Linked DNA regions of Arabidopsis thaliana. The protein of the gene in region 3 interacts with the protein of the main gene of each other region in a pairwise test. Each region holds a gene or a part of one and is shown on either strand. Other genes may lie near its edges.

What was found.
Region 1: the proteins of SK13 (region 3) and FKF1 interact in a two-hybrid assay, tested with the Arabidopsis thaliana proteins (2 studies listed by BioGRID).
Region 2: the proteins of SK13 (region 3) and AT2G22030 interact in a two-hybrid assay, tested with the Arabidopsis thaliana proteins (one study listed by BioGRID).

The regions. Positions count from the first base shown.
Region 1 is NC_003070.9:25,506,016-25,512,654, reverse strand, and holds FKF1 (flavin-binding, kelch repeat, f box 1), read right to left. Parts: upstream 4,017-6,639; 5' UTR 3,919-4,016; coding exon 3,647-3,918; intron 3,546-3,646; coding exon 1,958-3,545; 3' UTR 1,748-1,957; downstream 1-1,747. Other genes in the region: MAP70-1 (microtubule-associated proteins 70-1), read left to right, coding at 1-60, 169-240, 333-863, 945-1,132, 1,224-1,263. UniProt on the Arabidopsis thaliana protein: Component of an E3 ubiquitin ligase complex that plays a central role in blue light-dependent circadian cycles.
Region 2 is NC_003071.7:9,368,976-9,375,614, forward strand, and holds AT2G22030 (Galactose oxidase/kelch repeat superfamily protein), read left to right. Parts: upstream 1-3,554; coding exon 3,555-4,706; downstream 4,707-6,639. Other genes in the region: LST8-2 (Transducin/WD40 repeat-like superfamily protein), read right to left, coding at 5,601-5,710, 5,791-5,850, 5,923-6,005, 6,089-6,171, 6,265-6,381, 6,460-6,537, 6,604-6,639.
Region 3 is NC_003074.8:22,161,065-22,166,939, forward strand, and holds SK13 (SKP1-like 13), read right to left. Parts: upstream 2,538-5,875; 5' UTR 2,495-2,537; coding exon 2,030-2,494; 3' UTR 1,850-2,029; downstream 1-1,849. Other genes in the region: QWRF6 (QWRF motif protein (DUF566)), read left to right, coding at 1-717, 807-926, 1,017-1,133, 1,218-1,307, 1,401-1,508, 1,636-1,704; SK5 (SKP1-like 5), read right to left, coding at 3,780-4,241; SPL12 (squamosa promoter-binding protein-like 12), read right to left, coding at 4,792-5,223, 5,310-5,875. UniProt on the Arabidopsis thaliana protein: Involved in ubiquitination and subsequent proteasomal degradation of target proteins. Together with CUL1, RBX1 and a F-box protein, it forms a SCF E3 ubiquitin ligase complex. The functional specificity of this complex depends on the type of F-box protein.

The DNA.
Region 1 (6,639 bases), on a different chromosome or scaffold from region 3:
GATGGTAATGATAAAGTGATGCCTGTGAAGCAATGGCTTGAAGAAAGAAGGTTTCTACAGGTTTACTTTGATATGATTGCCCTTTTCCTAAATTTGTGGAATCCAGATTCTTTGAAGTGACAAAGGCACACAACCTTACATTCTCACTCTTTAACTCTCTTCTTGCAGGGAGAAATGCAGCAACTCCGCGATAAGCTTGCCATATCAGATCGAGCTGCGAAATCTGAAGCACAGCTAAAAGTATTCATCGTATTTATGCATTAGTCATTGTCGAATTTATGTTCTTGTTTAACTGAACTAATTAGTAAACTATTTCCTTATACAATTTCTAGGACAAGTTTCAACTACGACTTAGAGTGCTTGAAGAGACACTGAGAGGCACATCAAGCATCAGCATAAGGAACACACCTGAGGGAAGAAGCATGAGTAATGGACCGTCTCGCAGGCAGTCAATCGGTGGATCAGATAATTTACAAAAGTTTGCGTCAAATGGCTTTTTGTCAAAGAAAACTCCGATGAGAAATTCCTTTACTTCTAATTCCACCTCGGTATTGAAGAATGCTAAAGGAACATCCAAGTCATTCGATGGAGGCACAAGATCATTGGATAGAGGCAAAGCACTCTTAAAAGGACCTGGGAATTATTCGTTCAACAAGGCTTGTGATGAAACCAAAGAATCAGAGTCACCTAATACCTGGAAAGAAGATTCAGAAGAGAAGCCACCAAGTGAACTCCCTGCACCAGCAACCGAAGACAATGTCCCAGGGGTTTTGTATGATTTACTACAGAAGGAAGTAGTCGCCTTGAGAAAATCTTCGCATGAAAAGGATCAAAGCCTCAAAGACAAGGATGATGCCATAGAGGTAAAATCTCTCTGAATGTACCATATAAAATGTTGTTAAAAAGACGTGTTTGTAATGGAAGTCTTGATATTTTTCTTGTAGATGTTAGCAAAAAAGGTTGAAACTTTAACAAAGGCAATGGAAGTTGAAGCAAAGAAGATGAGAAGGGAAGTGGCTGCAATGGAGAAAGAGGTTGCTGCAATGCGTGTGGATAAAGATCAGGATAATAGAGCTAAAAGGTCTTCAAACACCAAACCCTCATCCAACACCGCCCAGATTCTTGCTGCAAGGTATCTAACAATGTTGAATATCTTTGTCTATTTTTATGATCAAATTGCGATTTTAGCAATCAGACTAAGCTTGGTGTTCGATATTCTGCAGAGCTGCTGGCCGAAGTGGGTTAACAAGGAGTACACAATGAGATGAGGGAGGAGATGTGACTAGTTCTTGTGGTCGTATCAGTTTAAACAAGTAAAACCGTTATAGGCTGGTGTGATTTTTAAGCTCTTTTTAACCTTTATATCTCTTTTTTATTTCTCTTGCTTTCCTTTACATCCTCTGTGATTTATTGAATTACCATAGAACTTAAGGATGAAAAAGATAAGTATGCTTTCTGACTTAGATCGGCTTACACTGCTTAGCGATGACGACAAGAAAAAAGGGTGGAGGGAGAGATGTTTGACATTTTCGCATAACATTTTCTGTCCTATGGAAGTAGTTTGTTTGGCTGTATAGGTTTTAGCTCTGTATTGAAGTTTGTGTACTTTACTTTTTCGGTTTCTTCATTCTATTTACTTGAGGTGTTGTGTGATTATTTCTACTTTTGGGTTTGTGGATATATATATATATGTCCAAACTCAGTGTCTTCTCTCTTTTGGATGGTACGTCAAAAATCAAATCCTGCATGGTCGAGTAACAAGGAGAAGTATATTATAGAAGGATCTTCATACAGCAAAACCATTAACATTACATGAATATCTATCTAAAGCGTACAACAATCACTAATTTACTATGTACACACGCTTCTAGCTTCTGATATATCTCTTCTACATGTCGTAAGAGTTTGGAATGTGACAGATACAAAACCACAAACCAAATGAAGAAGGAAAGAGTCTTTACAGATCCGAGTCTTGCCGGCTAGCCAAGCAGAGTTCATGTAATTCATTGAGTATCCATTCCTCACCAGTGTGACCACCAAGGACCAATACTCTAGTTCCTCCAACAACGCATGTGCTATGTCCCCAAGCTAACTTAGGCGGTTTCCCGGGGACATTCAGGATCCTCCATGACGGTTTCTCTTCTGCAGGATCTATTAGAAACAGTTGCGAAGGAGAGTGAAGCCCTGCAATCGACCCTCCAAAGATGATGACCCTACCACACGGCATGCTCACAGCCACATGGTCTAGTCTTGGAGGCGGTACAACCACGCCTGGGAATGCGCTACACTCAAGCTCTCTCCATCTTGGTTCTTCATCCTCCAAGTCTATAGTGTATGCCTCCCCTGACCTTAGCTTTAGATGACCACTATTTGCAAGCCCGCCAAACATTAGGATTTTAGTCCGACCAAAGACCGATAAAGAATGCCCAAGTCTAGAAGGAGGAGCCCATGATGTCGGGATCTCTTTCCATGTCGGTTTATCTGTTGTCAGATCCAACAAGAAGGTGTCGCTGAGAAGCACTCCAGCGTCTGTGCAGCCACCTGAGACAACCAGTTTAGAGCCCTCAATGGTGCACGAGCTGTGCCAAGATCTTGGCAATGGAGGAGTTCCTCCTGCTACTTCCTTCCATGTGGGATGCTTAGCGTCTAGATCAAGCACAAATACATCATTAAGCAATCCTTGTCTTCCACACCCTCCAAAGACTACCAACCACGACCCGTTGAGACACGAGAGTGTGTGTCCCCAACGTCCTGGAGGCGACGACGTCACCCTCACACGCTGCCACTCAGGACACTCTGCATCAAGATTGAGAACAAAAGTATCATCCAATGGCTGCATGTTAACCCCTTCCCCACCAAATAGCACAAGCCGGTTCCCAACAGCACACGCGCTGAAATTGCAGCGGGAAGGTTGTACAATCCCTCCAACAGTAAATTTACGCCAACACACAGCTTCAAGAGTGGTGAGCTCTCTAGCTAACCGACCCCATCTTAGCTTCTTAGTCATAATCTCCAGTGTTCCAGTTATCTCTTTTCCCCACGCATTCTGACATACCATCTTCCTCACACTCTCGTTCTTCGTCAACTGCCTCAACCTCCTGCAAGCAGAACCAATTGAAGCAACGTCCCTTGGAGTTAACCGAGATAAGATGTTATGAGCCAAAACTTCATCAGATAGCTGCAATATCCCACAGAAATCTTCATGATGCTCCTTAAACCTCGGGCTTCCACTTGGAAACAAGCACTCAGATGTTTGATCAAGCTGTTGTTTATGTTTGAACACAGGATACGAGACACGGTCAAGGTCTATAGTCGTTTCAGAGAAGACCTGTATCCCAATTACGTGTGTAATGGTTCCATCATCGTCACGTATTGGAGCAAGCCGTAGTCTGTTAACCAAAGGAGTACCATCTTTTCTGAAATTAAGAAGCTCTCCTTGGAATTCAATACCTTCTTCAAGACATCTCCTAATCTCAGATACAACCACAGGATCAACCAATGGGTGACGCCTTTGAGCTCGAGGATCTCTGTACTGTAGGAATCGACTGAAACCAAGCAGATTCAACCACAAATGCAGCATTATTCAAGAGAATTGATAACAACACACTCCAATTCAAAAAGGGGGAAATCGGAGAAATTAATATACCAGTTACGACCAAGAACTTCATCGGCACGATAGCCAGTGAAGACTTCGAAGACTCTGTTGACATAGATCAAAGGAAAATCTGGCTCCAGAGCATCGGAAACAATGAACGAAGGCGGAGTCATTGGGTAATAGAACATCCCAACCTCTAACGGAAGCTTCTCATCCTCTACTTGTTCTTCGATTCCATCGTTACAGTATTCTTCTGCTTCTTCAACTCTGCCGCGTTTCTTTCGTTTTCCGGTGGCTTCTCCGATCGCATGTTCTCTCGCCATTTTTCTCGCTTACAGAAATATCTTCTTCTTCTCTGATAAGCTCTCAGCCTTATGATATTTTATTTCTTTTTGTGTCTGTTTAAACTTTTAAAATATCTTGGCTTAGTTGGTGACTTATTGACGAATATACCCTTTATATTTAAGACGAGGCAAGAAGTCTTCGCGCCAGGAGTTGGTGGCAATTTTCGTAATTAAAAGGATATATCAGGGGTATGTTTAAAAAAAGTAAGTCTACTCTTGTTCGATTGTAACACGTCACCAGGGGATATTCCGAGAAAATATCTAGCCTACTCAACCACTCGCTTCTTCCACGTCATCATATTTTGTGAAAGATATTTGTTTTTTTTTTGAAGATTGAGATTTGAGGGAAGATATTTGTTTTTGTTTGTGAAGTGTTGGAACTTGGAAGTTGGAACGCAATTGGAATCAGATTCACGTAACCGTTGACTCTGGTCAAATAATAGATATTTTTGTGAAACGCGATTCTCGAAAAGGTTACACATAATGTTAATGTAACAAATTGAGTTTTCGTGGTGAGTGGAATGGGATGATGAGACAAGGGAGTTTTTCTCCCCAGTTGAGAAAATTCAGATTTAGCTCTAAAACTTCCCACTTATATAAGTTTCTAAACAAAAAAATTACATTAGAAATACGAAAATGTACGTAAGTAATGTAAATATGTAATAATTGATAGCAATAGTGGCCATAGACCCCACATAGTGGCATACTATGAGAGTAATAGAGTTAAGTGTAGTCCTAAGATTTACAGAAGTCCAGATCTAGGCCCATACTAAATAGCTAGCCCACAAAGCCCACACAAAAACTTAATTTGAACCAAATAAATAGACAACATATTTTTTTTATTTTTCTTAACCGTGTGAGAAGGCTTCTGACCATAATCTTTCAAGTACATGAAATCAACCTTTACATATTCCAATTGTGTTCAACCAAAAAAATATTCCAATTTAAATAATATATTTCCATTCCAAAAAACTAAACACAAGAAAACTAACCCTTTTGGTATATAGACAAAATAATTGTTTCATAGATTTATCTTTTTATTTTATCTTTAATTTCTATACAATTAAAGGTAAATTAAAGGTAATTTCTATACCACTCCAACATTTCCTGTTATGTTTCATTAGCTACTTCAAGTTTTAGATTTATATCGGGTTCACAAGACGTCAATAAATTACATTCCTTATCACCTCAATAAAAAAAGTTATGATTTTTTGTTTTTCTTATTTTTTCTTTACTTTTTGATATAAAAAAAAGTTCTGGCTTTTGTTATGTAATTTGATTTTTTGAACACAAACAATCGAAACTCAAACATCTTTTTGGTGGACTAAAACCCAACAACTTTTTTTGATTGATGAAAAAAATAACATTCATTTTTGGAGAATATAAATTCAGGGAAATTTATAATTAATTAAAGGTATTGAGGCTCTATCTATTGCCAATACTTTTGGGACCGCTTGGTTCATCGCGAAGACAAAGAGACATGTTCAAAAACAATGGTACTCATCGCACCCCTGTCACTAGAATAATAGCCACTAATCCTAGTCTAACATTGGCCGGTCTGGTCTTTTTCTTTTTAAATAGTTTCATGATTGTCATCATCTCAATTTTTGTGTAAGTTAAGTTATGAGTTAATTAATGACAGAAATAGAGCGAGCAATAGTTTCTTTTGAAGTCGTGAAATGTATAACATCAATATAGATCCAAGTATGATTTTTGACCACATCCAAATTACAAATTAAAAACAAAAAAATTCTATAAATGTTTCGAATATTTATATAAAAACAGACGAAGAAAAATTGAAGTTTTGAATCATGAATGAAACAAAATCGTGCTAAGCAAAACAATTTAAATGGTTGGTGTACTGCATGTGCTTTAACGTGAGCAGTTTAATGAGAATTAGGGTTCCACATGTTAATATATATTTATAATGTTATCACAAAAATATATTTGTAATTTCACAGCTAAAATATGACTTCTTTTACCAAAACAAAAACTAAAATATGACTTGAACACGAAACAGAAAGTATATACATTCACGTATCACAGCCCTAGAATCTAGCTCACTTCCTAATTCGAAAATTGCGTAAGCTCACACGTCAGTACCCTAAACTATTACCTCCGTTTTTTCTTTTCTTTCAGGTTTTAGTTAACTAATTAATTAGTCAATAAAAACTTCAGCAAATGAAAAACAAATTTGCTGCGTGAACTTTTTTAGTTCATCAAATCTTTTGATTTTGTGGGATTCAATATCCAACTTAATACATATCATATTCATGTGCACTTTCAGTTTAGTATAAAACTCGAGATTATTAATTAAACAAAACATAAAAGACAAAAAAGTAAAAACTAAAGAGATCATATACTAAAAGAAAAAAAAGTAGTATGGTTTTATTAATAAATAATGTAATAAGAATATATTTATATTGAAAAACATTTTTAAATAGTATGATTTTAAAAATAAATAATGTAATAAGAATATGATTTTAAATATATGTTAGTGTTAACATTTTTGTTTAAATGTGAGAAATTTTTCATTTATTCTTTTGTCCCAAATGATTTATGGGGGACAAGATTCCTTAAAAGGGACAAATCACATTGTAAGAAGATAAGTGAATGTAAATATATATTTGTTTAAAAAGATGCCATACATTTTGTTAATCAAACAACCCAAAGTTGACCCTCAATAATAAGTGTAGTAGG
Region 2 (6,639 bases), on a different chromosome or scaffold from region 3:
GCATAAGTTTCCAAAAATCAATACTTGAATCAAAAAGCTTTCAAATTTATGTGATGAACAGGGATTAACAAAAAGAGAAAGCTATTCAATTTCAATCAATTAGAAAGAAAAAAACACCAAAATCAGAACGGAAAATTCGAAACTCACCGGAGAAATTGACATGAAAAGCGATTAACCCAGAAGCCAAAATCAATCAATACCCAGATTCTTCAAACCAAAGACGGCGGACTTGTGCTAGGGTTTTTCAAATAAATTAAACAGGAGAAGACTTTTCGCTTCTTTTTTTTTCTTCTTCTTCCTCGAAGAGAGAGAGAGAGAGAGATTTTGCGCCCAATATTTTTGGGGGAACAGAGAAGAAGAATTGAAGAAAGAGAGAGAGAGGAATCAGAAGACCGGTGGCTAACACCGAACGAGCCAATGGATCATGTGGCGTGTGGGTTTTTTACCGACACGTGTCGGTGTCGATGACGTGGCTGATGACGTATTATATCGACGGTCTGGTCTGGTAACTTTTATAGAAGGAGAAGGAGGAAAGTTTACGATGCGGACGGTCTTACGTTTATTTTGACACGTGGCGTAGTAGATGTTAACGTGTTCTTAAATCAAATTACAAAATTACAAAAAGTAAACAACGCTTTTTAATTTTTCTCCTTCTGTTTTCTTTTTTAGTGTTAACATTATGAGATTTGTTTTACTGAAGATATTTCCTGTTATTTGGATTAATCAAAAATAACAAAAAAAAAGGTGCTGTAAAACTTAGCAATTTAAAGGTAAAGTTAAAAGAATGTTAGTATCACCACTAACTAAAGAAAAAATCACAAAAATAATATGGTATTGTTTGAATATTCTTTTTTTTTTCATTTTAGTGTTAGTATTATGAGATTTTCGTGTAAAATTTTTGCTAAAAACATTGTTAAAAAAAATTAGTTTTGTTTATCGCTTTTAAATAGTTATTATTTTTAGTTTAAAAAAAAAAAATATTATTGTTTATTATCAAAGATGATTTGGTTTCGACTACCCGTGAAATTTTCGAATGTGATTACAGTTGTCGAATAGCGTATTTACTGTATTTTATTTAAGTGGATCTAAAATATGATATAATTATGATTAATCTAAAAAGAAATGTAAATTTAAGTTATATATCACTTTTGTAAATAATTTCTCTCGGAATTATTTTTTTTAAGTCCTTAATAATATCTTATGACAAAAAAAAAAATATGAATCTAGTTATCAGGTTTCCTTGGTAAAGAAAAATTTAGATGTAAGTTTCCTATTTGTAGATTCTATAATCATAACGGGTTTCACAAACAATTATAATACTGGTATCATTCGTTGACAAGAACTAATAATAATCTGGAGTTGACTTAATTAGAAAACTTTATTTGTAAATCAATTGTCAAAAGCCATTCGTATATTCTTAATACATTATGCAAATTAAAGAAGAGTGTTACTATAATGTATGCACGAAAACTATTCAAGTGGATGTAAAGACGATTGAAATCGACGGAACGTGACGGAGCAGTTGTTGACAAGTCACCGGAGCTTTTGCAAACTTCCGATAGACACACGACCTTGTCAACGACCTGAGAGTATAAATAATTGAAAATATCAACTCGATCTCTAAACACACCACGTGGAAAGCTATGAGACCACTGTCGGCTAATGACTAATAAAAGAAGTATCGTGCACGTGTTCCACGTTGATCAACAGCCACTTCACTGGCTGATGTCTCTGTTATTCAGATAGTGACTTAAGACGGCATTATATTGTCTTCAAGGGAAATATTAAAACGCTGCGTTTCCGTGTGATGGAATAATTTTGCAACCGTTGCCACTTTTACTTTTGGGAATTTGGTTGAACAGCAACTTGTTTTTTTTTTTTTGGTAAATATTTTTGGTTGAACTTGTCATTCAATGTAGCAAAACTTAGTAAAAATGCTACAAAACATAAAGATTTTCAAATGTGCCAAACCTCAGCTCTATGGACGATTTCCCTGTTCTAACTATACTAAAATGCATAGTTTTGGTGTAGTGATTAACAAAAATATGTATGGAATATAATCATGATGATAATGATAATGGTAAGATTATGCTTTTACTTTTGATTAAAAGCTAGTGATATGATTTGCCTCTTAATTTGAGTAGATGATTTTCAATGTTTGGTACTATTTTCATTGTTTTAGTGGGAAGAAAACAAAGAGATTTGGTGTTCAATGTAGCGTTAGTTAAGTAGATGAAAAGAGATACGTTGATGCTAATGATGATGTTATGATGTTTGATACTTTATATGTTTAATCATCATATTATCATTAATATGCTTTGTTTAAATGGTGATCTTTATGCTCTGTTTTGGCTTCTACTATATATATATGCTGTATTTTTCTATGGGAAAGCAAAGCATAAGTAACGACAGTTGAAGTCCAAGTAAAGTACTAGATTGTTTCATGCCCATTGTGCAAGAGCCATATTTTATTTATTAACAAAACATCCAACTGAGACTGGAGATACATAAAAGCTTGGAACATAATCCACTTTCAAGTGTTTGCTAACCACCGAGTGAGACAATGAACCAATATGTTATCAAACAAATGTGATAAACAAATACAAATTCTCCAATCGATTAGGCAGAACCGCAGCATTAGCTAGTGGATAAATCAAGAGTTCAAGAATCGAACACACAACATTCATTAACTTGTGTCTTGATGATGTCAAATTGTGAATCATGACTCAAAATGTATTACAACCATCATCATCATTAGGCCTCAATGCATCTCTTGTCTATGATCTAAAACGTATAGACAACACAAGGAACAAGCCGCCATGAGTGATCTGAGACAACTTTCCTTAAGGTAAGTAAACTGGTCATGGCATTTAATGCTTTTGAGTTTCAGAGTCTGGTTGATGTATAAGGGAAGATTTTTAAGTTTAGATAAGGGAAGTTTCACCCAAATATCATCTTTTGGTGTCGATCGATATTTCATATTTGATATTTTGTCCCACATTTTTGTTGATAATGTCAATATTGATATTATTTTATGCATGAGGTCTTGATATCATAGTTCAATTTTCGTTTTAGTCAAAATTGATGACTTTTTATTTTTCATTTTTTAAATAACTAATAGGTTCTAGGCCTAGGGGATTTGGTATTATGTTGTGCTTATATATAGGTTAATTTGTTTATATTCTTTTCAGATATAATCCTATTAGAAGATAGCATATTCGATATAAGTTTGTTTATGATTCTTAAAGTATATTCTCCTTGTATATAGGACGATCGTAGATATCACTAGATATGGGGAACTGTAATGCCTTTATATTGAAATCAATAGAGAATGATCTCCTCAACGGAGACTTTCATTAGCTTTCAAATCCAACATACTTATTAAGTAGGGCTCCTTCATCTTTTTCTTTTCTCCTCCTCCATCGTACGATATGTCTTCTCCAGCAGCCTCCACCACCAACGAGCCACGGCACGAGAATATTCATAGAGTTTCGTCGTCATCGTTATTCTCATTAGTAAAAGGACTCATAACAGGTTTACTCCAAAGTCAACTCATGAGACGAGCTATAAACTTAATCAACCGAAACCCTAGACCATACGATATTGCCGCGGACCAATCTTCTTTGTTGTTTTCGTCATTACCTTATGATGTAGTTTTGAACTGCTTAGCTCGTGTCTCCAGACGCTACTACCCAAACCTCTCTTGTGTTTCCAAAAGCTTCCAATCCCTTGTGCGTTCTCCTGAGCTTGCACATATGCGATCCTTAATAGGCAAAGATGATCCCGTCGTTTATGTTTGCTTTTCCGATACTAAGCCTTTTTTGGGCAGGAGACTTGATTGGTTTACTTTGAATCCAAACGAGAAGAAAACAAGTGTTCTTAACTCATTTCAGGTTTTTTCTTACTATATGTTGTATTGTCCCTCCGTCTCCATAGGTTCAAAGATCTACTTCGTTGGAGGATGCATGTACAAATGTTTGCCGGGCCTATTGATCTTTGATTCCTGGTCCGGCGAGTTGTGTGTGGGTCCTAGCATGAAGGAGGCTCGCATGTTACCGGGCGTGGCAGTAGTAAATGGGAAACTATACGTAATGGGAGGGTGCCGCGAAGACCAAATCCAAGTGGAGGTTTTCGACCCGAATTCACAAACTTGGGAAGTTGGACCTTTAAGTTCAGATGGGGAAGTCCGATACGGAAAAGGGTTAATGCGATATGGAGCAATTGTGACTGAAGCTGTAGCATTGGAAGGGAAGGTTTATTGTATGAGTTATAAAGATGGGAGTCACATAATCTACGATACGAAAGATGGAAAATGTGAGACTTTTTTGATGGCAGATGGAAAGGCATGGAGGAGAGGTGGAGTGTGTGTGGTAAACAGTGTGATCTATGTTTATTACATTAATCTTGGGGTAATGTGGTATGACCCTAAAGATAAGGTATGGAGAGAGGTTAAAGGTTTGAATAAGCTTGATTATAAATCAATTGACATGGTTGGGATGGTGGATTGCAATGGGAAACTTGGGTTTCTGTGGGGAAATAACACGAGAGAAATTATTAGTGGAAGAACCGAGAAGAGGATTTGGTGTGAGATGATCGTGTTGGAGAGGAGTGGAGTAGAAATCCATGGAACGGTCGAGTGGTCTGATCTCGTTGGATTTGTTCCTCATGACTATGAAATTTGGCGTTGTCTAGGTGTTTCTTATTAAAACTTAGTTTATGATGGTAATGGTGTGATGACGTTTTCTTACTTTGTGAATTACCATATTACTAATATGTTGCATTGGCTGAGCAGAATTGTGAGCATCACAGATTAAACATGATTTGCATCTTTGGTTGCTTTTCATTTTTAATATAGCACTTACGATAAATAGGTACCTATATACCAAAAACGTGTATTTGAAAAACAAAACAAGCTTTTAAACTTACAAAAAGTAACTGAAGGTTATAAAATATATAATCCTATTTACCATGACATTTGGCGTTGTCTAGATGTTTAAACAGTTTTTCTTGTAGTAGCATTTCTGATCAAAACTATAAAAGAGATGCTTATGATAGTAATGATGTTGTGAAACGTTTTCTTACTTTTTGTATGACAATTTTATTAATATAGCGTCTTACTTAGCTAAAAAGTTGATGTATGACAATTCAACAATAGAATTGTCTACTCTAGATGATCGACTGTTGTATCTGAAATCTAGATATACAAGTTTCTATGCGATTTTGGGCATTTCAGTATATGTCATCTAAATTCGTATCCAACTTTACGTGGTTCATGACTTGTCGACTTAGAGTAGGATTAGAATAGATTTGGCAAGCTAGTTTTACACCACATGTCACGGGAATATCCGTGTGAGTAGGTTGGCTCAATGATATTGAATTATTGATATATACTTACTCCAAGACTTGCCCACAACAAGTGGAGTTTAGCTTTTAATACGAGTCCCTCGGCCATGATTAGGGGTTTGGGGAGAGAATTAACGTCTGATCAAGAAAATATCAGAGGAGTAATTAGGAAGAAAAATCCAATCGAAATGTACAAGATTTGTCTAAAACACAAACAACACAATCATAATTTATCCTTTTTGATAATTTTACAGGATTTAATCACGCAGTAGTGTACAACACACAGTAGCTTTGCGATGAGCTTGGTACACCATCTCTTCTTTTCCCGCTCGCATCGACCACAATCTAGCCGTGGTGTCCGATGATGCTAATAGTACAAAGTGAAAACCAGTTTAAATACTCTTTTGTCTCACACAAGTTTTCCAGTGTAAAGAGATTAAGTAGTACCTGTTACAAGATATTCTCCATCCATTGAGAAGTCACAGTCCCATACCCATCTTTCATGACCTGTTAAATGATATTGATGAGAGTGTAAAAGAGAACACATACCCCTTTCAGAAACACGGAGAGACCATATACCTGTTAAAACTTTCTCAAGTTTGAAACCATCAAGGTTCCATATTTTGACTGTTTTATCAGATGATGCGGTCGCTAGATATCTGCTAACAAATATATAAGACCTTACAAAAAGAAAGAAGACAAAGAAAACAGGTTGCAAGAGAAAGAAGAAGAAACACATAATTACTTGTTTCCAGGAGAAAGGAGACATTTAAGGATGTGGCTATTATGAGCTTGTAGCTTATGAAGGGGCTCAAACTCGGTCATCGTCTAGCAAAAAACACAATCAAATTTTTAAATGACATGAACAATTATTTCAGCATAATGGAAGAAAGAAAGTTTTTCTTATGATTAGAACAGTACTTGTCTTTCACACAAGGAGCGCCATACATAACATGTTCCACGGTCGTTAGCAGCAACCACCATTGTCCCATCCCACATAACCGTTAAAGACCGTATAGGTGTACCGACTTCTGGTACCTATATATAGTTATACACCAAAGTAATATTATATATCTACAGATTCTTAGAAAATGTAACTAGGATAAAGAAATGTACCAGTTCACAGCTACACAAATCTGCTCTGAGATCCCATACACGTATATTACCGTTTTGGTCTCCAGATATCAATTCAGTCTATAAAAAAGGATAACAAGTAAGACAACTAAGCCGATTGCTACAAAACAACACTAAGATATGTACCTGATTTGGGTGTAAAACAACTGTGTTAACTGGTGA
Region 3 (5,875 bases):
GGAGATCTCCACTCTTTGACTTGTAATTCTCCAAAGCAGCACCACCTTCAACACCACCAGATTCAACGCTCTGTTTCTGCTCAGAGACTTAGACGTCAGTTAAAAATGGCAGACGGAGATGAGAATCGCTCATCAGAGACGGCGGCGCGTAGCCTAGACTCGCCTTTTACACTCTCACAAAGCCGAAAATCATCGAAACCAAGTCACTTGAAGCCGCTCAACGAGAATTCTCACCGGCTCGAAACTCCTACACCAATGGTTCCTCCTCCACCGTCTAGATCACGGCTAAGCCAACAAAGATTACCAACTGCAACGAGACTTCTCCAACTAAGCGGCATATCAGCCTGTTATGAGAAAGAAGGAATCATCAACATTCAGGAGAAACCTAAATCTAACGGCTCAGATCAGTTTCCAACACTTTCTTGTAGAACTCATCTTAAAGTTTTCAACAATCCTGTACCTTCTTCTCTTAATCGATCTGTGAGTTCACCATCTTCAAGCTGTAACGTTCGTGAGAGCAGTTCGTTTTCACGTTTAGGCTTGCCATTGCCTCCAATGGCACCCAAGGTTCCAGCGGATACTAAAAAACAGAGGAAGGTTACAGAGCAATTGGAAGATGTGCATTCTCTGAAACTGCTCCACAATCGTTACCTCCAATGGAGATTTGCAAACGCCAATGCACAAGTGAAGACTCAAACTCATAAAACACAAACTGAGGTTAATTTCTCTGATGGTCTGCTTTTATGGTAAAATCTTTGAACTAAAGGTTCTGTTTATGTTTAATGGTGTTTTGTTTTATCTTGTAGACCATGATCCATTCCTTTGGTTCCAAGATATCAGAATTACATGATTCTGTGCAAAGGAAACGCATAGAGCTTCAACGTTTATTGAAAACTAAAGCTCTTCTCGCGATTACAGAATCTCAAGTAAGCTTAAAGATACTTTAAACTTCCATATTATTGACTCTCACATAAACGTATATGAGACTTATGAGAAAATGTTTCACATTATTTCAGACTCCATGTTTGGAGCAATGGTCTGCTATTGAAGAAGAGTATTCGACTTCGGTGTCACAAACAATCCAAGCTTTTTCCAATGCTTCATTACGGCTTCCACTCGATGGGGATATCATGGTATCTTGTGCTCATGAGTAATATCAACTAGGAAGAATCATCTGCATGTACGTATCAACTAAGAGTTTGCTTGTCAAAAACCAGGTTGATTCTAAACAGTTAGGAGATGGACTTGTGGCTGCTTCAAAGATTGTTGACGGCATTACACAAAATGTTGGAAACTATATGCCAAAGGTTAGTAGAAGAATAGTATCAATGTCAGGGTTTTATTATTTCTATTGAAGATTGACTGTATATCAGAATCCTTGTTGATAATACATTTTGCAGGCAAAGGAGATGGAGAGTTTGTTGTCAGAATTAACAAGAGTGGCTAGAAGTGAAAGATCATTGACAGAAAATTGCGTTGTGGCTCTTCTTAAAACGCAAGCTTCACAAGTACTCAACCTTTCTTTACATAAGTTGAGAATATTTTAAACTTTTATGATCATCGTGCATCCTTTTTTTTTCCTTTGTATAAGAGTTTTAAAAGATCTTTATATATATATATATATATGTTTTGCAGATTGAAGAATGTTCTATGAGAAGTCAACTTATCCAGCAAACAACAAAAGAAGAGTCATCTTCTAAATGAGCACAACTCTTGTTCTACTGAAAGAGATTTATATCGAATGAGTGTAGCATTAAAATCGATTATAGATTATACAGAAATAAAATAAAAAGACTTTTTGACAACATCGTTCTTAAAAATTGCTCAAGCATATAAATCTCCAAAGGAATTAGAAAAGACAATAACGAAGTCACATTGATCAAGAAAACACACATACACACAAGAGAAGAAAGAACAAAAGACACTGTTCAAGAGATCGGAAACAAACTAAAGAAAAAAGAACACGAGACATTGATCTTGATAAAGAAGATCAGAAAGCACACTAACGTCGAAAAAGAAAACTAAAGAATCATTCAAAAGCCCATTGATTCTCCTTACGAATCTCCTCTTCCTCCTCCGGTGTAAAATCGTTCTCGATGCCAAGAAGTGCACGAATCTCGTCTGGTTTCTTGCCAGTGATCATGTCAGCAACAGTTTGGCAACCAAGGTCAAGCAGGTCTTTTATGTTTAGGTAATTCGCAGCCAGCATAACATCAAAGAGAGTCGACGACTGTTCCAGGGCCTTCATGAACTCAGCGTCCCACTTCTTGAGTTCGTCTTTGCTCTCTTCGGTTGGTGAATCAGAAACGACGTGTTTCTTGCAATACTCGATCACCTTCGAGAGGATGACTCCTGTAACGTTTGCGATAGGGACTCCATTGGCGACGCAATCGTCTTCAATCATATGTGCTATCGTCTGTGACTGGACCGCGACTGCTTCTTCGACCTGGAAAGATTCACCATCGGAGCTCAGCAACATAACCATCTTCGACATCGTTTCCTTCTTTTTTCTTTTTGTGGTGGCGATTTTTGTTTACAAGGTTTTCGATGATGGAGAGATATCAAAAGGTGTGTATTTATAGAGAGACCTAATTGTGAGAGTCGGTATAATTCTTGCCTTTTTTCATAATGGATGAAATTACTATTTTAACCTAAAAGGAAAATTCAGTTGAGTAAACCAATCCTAAACCGGGTTTTTGATGGATCTAGTCCCAATTGATCTAATTTCGGTACAAAAAGGAAATCAGATCCGAATCTACGTGTCATAATGAACGGCTCTAATTCAATACAATTGTAACAAGAGTTTAACGAGTGAACCAACAAAAAAGAGGTAAAAAGAAAAAAAAATGGAAACTTTCTAAAACGTTACATGTGTATATTCCATATTTTAAAAAACTCCGAAAGCAAGAAAAATATCTACAAATTTTGTTTATGTCATTCAAAACAAAAGAAAAGAAGAAAAGTAATTATGGTCACGTAAATTTATCATGTGTTCCCTCTTGATATAGCCAAATTTTAATAAATCCAAACCATATCTGCCTCTGTTTAATACCATAATGATTGCATTTTGCACCTCATATCGAATCATCCCATATTTTTTTCTTCATTAAATCCACCAAATTGTTTCTTTAGACTCGAATTTTATATAGTTGTAGGCTTGAGTAGAGGTTATAACCCAAATCAAATTTGATGATAATCTCAAAAGTAGCAAACGTTTACCTTATTCTTAAGAGAAAATGAAAAGAAAACCCCTGCTTTGTCGCAAAGAGAACAAAAACTTTACAGAGTAAAACTTTCACACTATTTTTATTTTTTGATTGTTCAATCTTGACCATTTACATCGGTCTGATTACGATACAAGAATATAAACCAAAATAACCAAGTTGAATATCGAAATTGAAGTGTCATGTACTCTGTTTCGGATTAGAAAACTCAATTACAGTAAGAAAATGAGAAAAAGATTTGACTTCACATATATTCAAGAATTGCTTCAGAAACAAAAGAAAGACTCTTAACAACATCGATCTTAAGATTTGGTTAGCATACCAAAATCCAACAAACGATTCGTCTCTAAAGCAAAGATACAAACATTGGTTGACTTGCACACCAAGAAATCAAAAGAAACACACCGAACAAACAAGAGATAGACGAAGTCTTAGTCATCAATCTACATGAAGCATAAAGAAAACTGAAAACACACACACACTAAAGAAGAAAACGATATAGACGAAGTCACCAGCTACGTAGATTTGCATCAACAACTTTGATGATCCGCTCTCTCATTGAAAAGCCCATTGATTCTCCTCACGAATCTTAGCTACTTCCTCTGCTGTTAGATCGTTCTCGATGTTGAAGTGCGCGCGAATCTCATCTGGAGTTTTCCCTGAGAGCAAATCAGCCTGGAGCAAATCCGAGACAGTTTTACATGTGAGATCAAGAAGGCTTTGAATATTGAGATAATTCGCAGCCATCATAACATCAAAGAGAATGGTTGTTTCGATCGTCTTCATGAAATCAGCGTCCCACTCCTTGAGATCTTCTTCTTCTTTGCTCTTGACGTGCTTCTCGCAATAATCGATCACAATCTTGAGAATCTTGCTTGTGACGTTTCGAAGCGGTATTACATCAGTGGCGCAGCCGTCCTCAACCATATGGTTTATCGCGATTGATTTGCGTGCCACGTCTTCGTCGATCTCGAACGATTTACCATCGGAGCTCTTCAACATGATCTTCGTCGACATTGTTATGGAGCGATTTTTCTCTGGAAAGCAAGGTTGATGAAACAAGATTGAAGAAGAATTTAGAGAGCGATTTGAAGAAAAATGATGTAACGAACTTATGAATCTATGCGTCTGTGTATTTATAAGCTCCAACTGTCAGAGTCGGTGGGATCAACATTTTCAGTGGAGTAAACCAAGCTGAACCGGGTCGAATTTTACAATTGGCCCAGTTTCGTAGATTCGGCCCAAAACTTGATCGAGATGGATTAAATGTCAAAAGAAAAAAAGGATTTGGTTGGTGTTTTATGTGATTTGTTGTTATTCTCACTCACTTCAAGATTTGCCATCAAAGACAAAGTACAAAATGTAACAAACACACAAAAACGTAGTTATACAAATTCGGGGGTTTAACATCAGATAAAGCTACATTACATATAATCTTGTAAAGCTGAATGATACATATTCTAGTAAAAATAATTAAACGTTACATAAAATTACACTCGTAGATTTCACACCAACACATCTTCTATTGAGAAGATTCTTTTTCAATGTCTGGTATAGGGAAGTTTTACTAGCTTGTTCCATACTCAAGTAATTCCCACCTGAATGGCTGAAAGACATATAGCACTTCCGGGCAACTCTTGAACAAAAGAGCGACACAAACGCAAACCGCTGCTATCGCTACCATCGAAAGCATTGCTGGCCTGTAGGCAACAGACTTGTGGTGCGTTGTGACAAACACACGTTTGTGATCACAGAGCTTACATTGGTTTATCTGTGTTATCTCCAAGCTTGAAGAATCCATTGGACTCCTCTTTTCTTGTTTGTGCTCAATGTTGAAAGACTCAGGAATGTTGACCACCACGTGTTCTTTGGCGATTGGTTTCCGACTGAGTTTCCGTTGCACCAGATGAATATACGAGAAGTGACCTCGTAAACGTGCATAGTCTTCTGGTGTGAATCCGGTATTGTCCCGGGAATTTTTCCAGGCTTGAATACCAGTCTGAACCAAACAAGAAGATTTTTTATCAGACAAAAACAGATTTTGAGTTTATATAAGTCAAAGAGGGAAATCAAATTCAAATTTACCATTCCAGGATCCTCAGTCAGGGCATCCAACACATCTTCTGAACCGTCTTTACCAGCTGCAATGTGAAGCGGTGTTAAACCGCCTGGACCAGCTGCATCGGGTCTAAACAAACCGGCTAATGTCTGATTCTTCTTCTTGGGACTGAATCTAAGAAGCATCTCAACCATGGGTTTTGAATTTTTCCTCACGGCTCTGTGAAGAAGACACAGTTCTGATAACGCAGCATCAGGAGATGGATCAACAGTGCCTTCTTCGAATAGAATATTCAATAACTTCTTCATCACACAGCACCATTCCCGGTCCATTGAGAACTCTATTAGAAACTTAAACCGTATTAAAGAAAACAGATCCTCTGGATTATGATCTGATGCTGCAAGTCTTGACTTGAGTTCACTTCTGTGTAGAAGCCAACCGATTTCGTGGATGAAATCCATTGCTTGCATTGCAGAATCAGTTCCAGTAAACTCTAATGTGCTTTCGAGTCTTCGGATTTCAGAACAAATATCTTCGTCTTCAGATACTATGAAAGGGAAGAAACTACTGCTTAGCCCACCTTGGTCTTCAA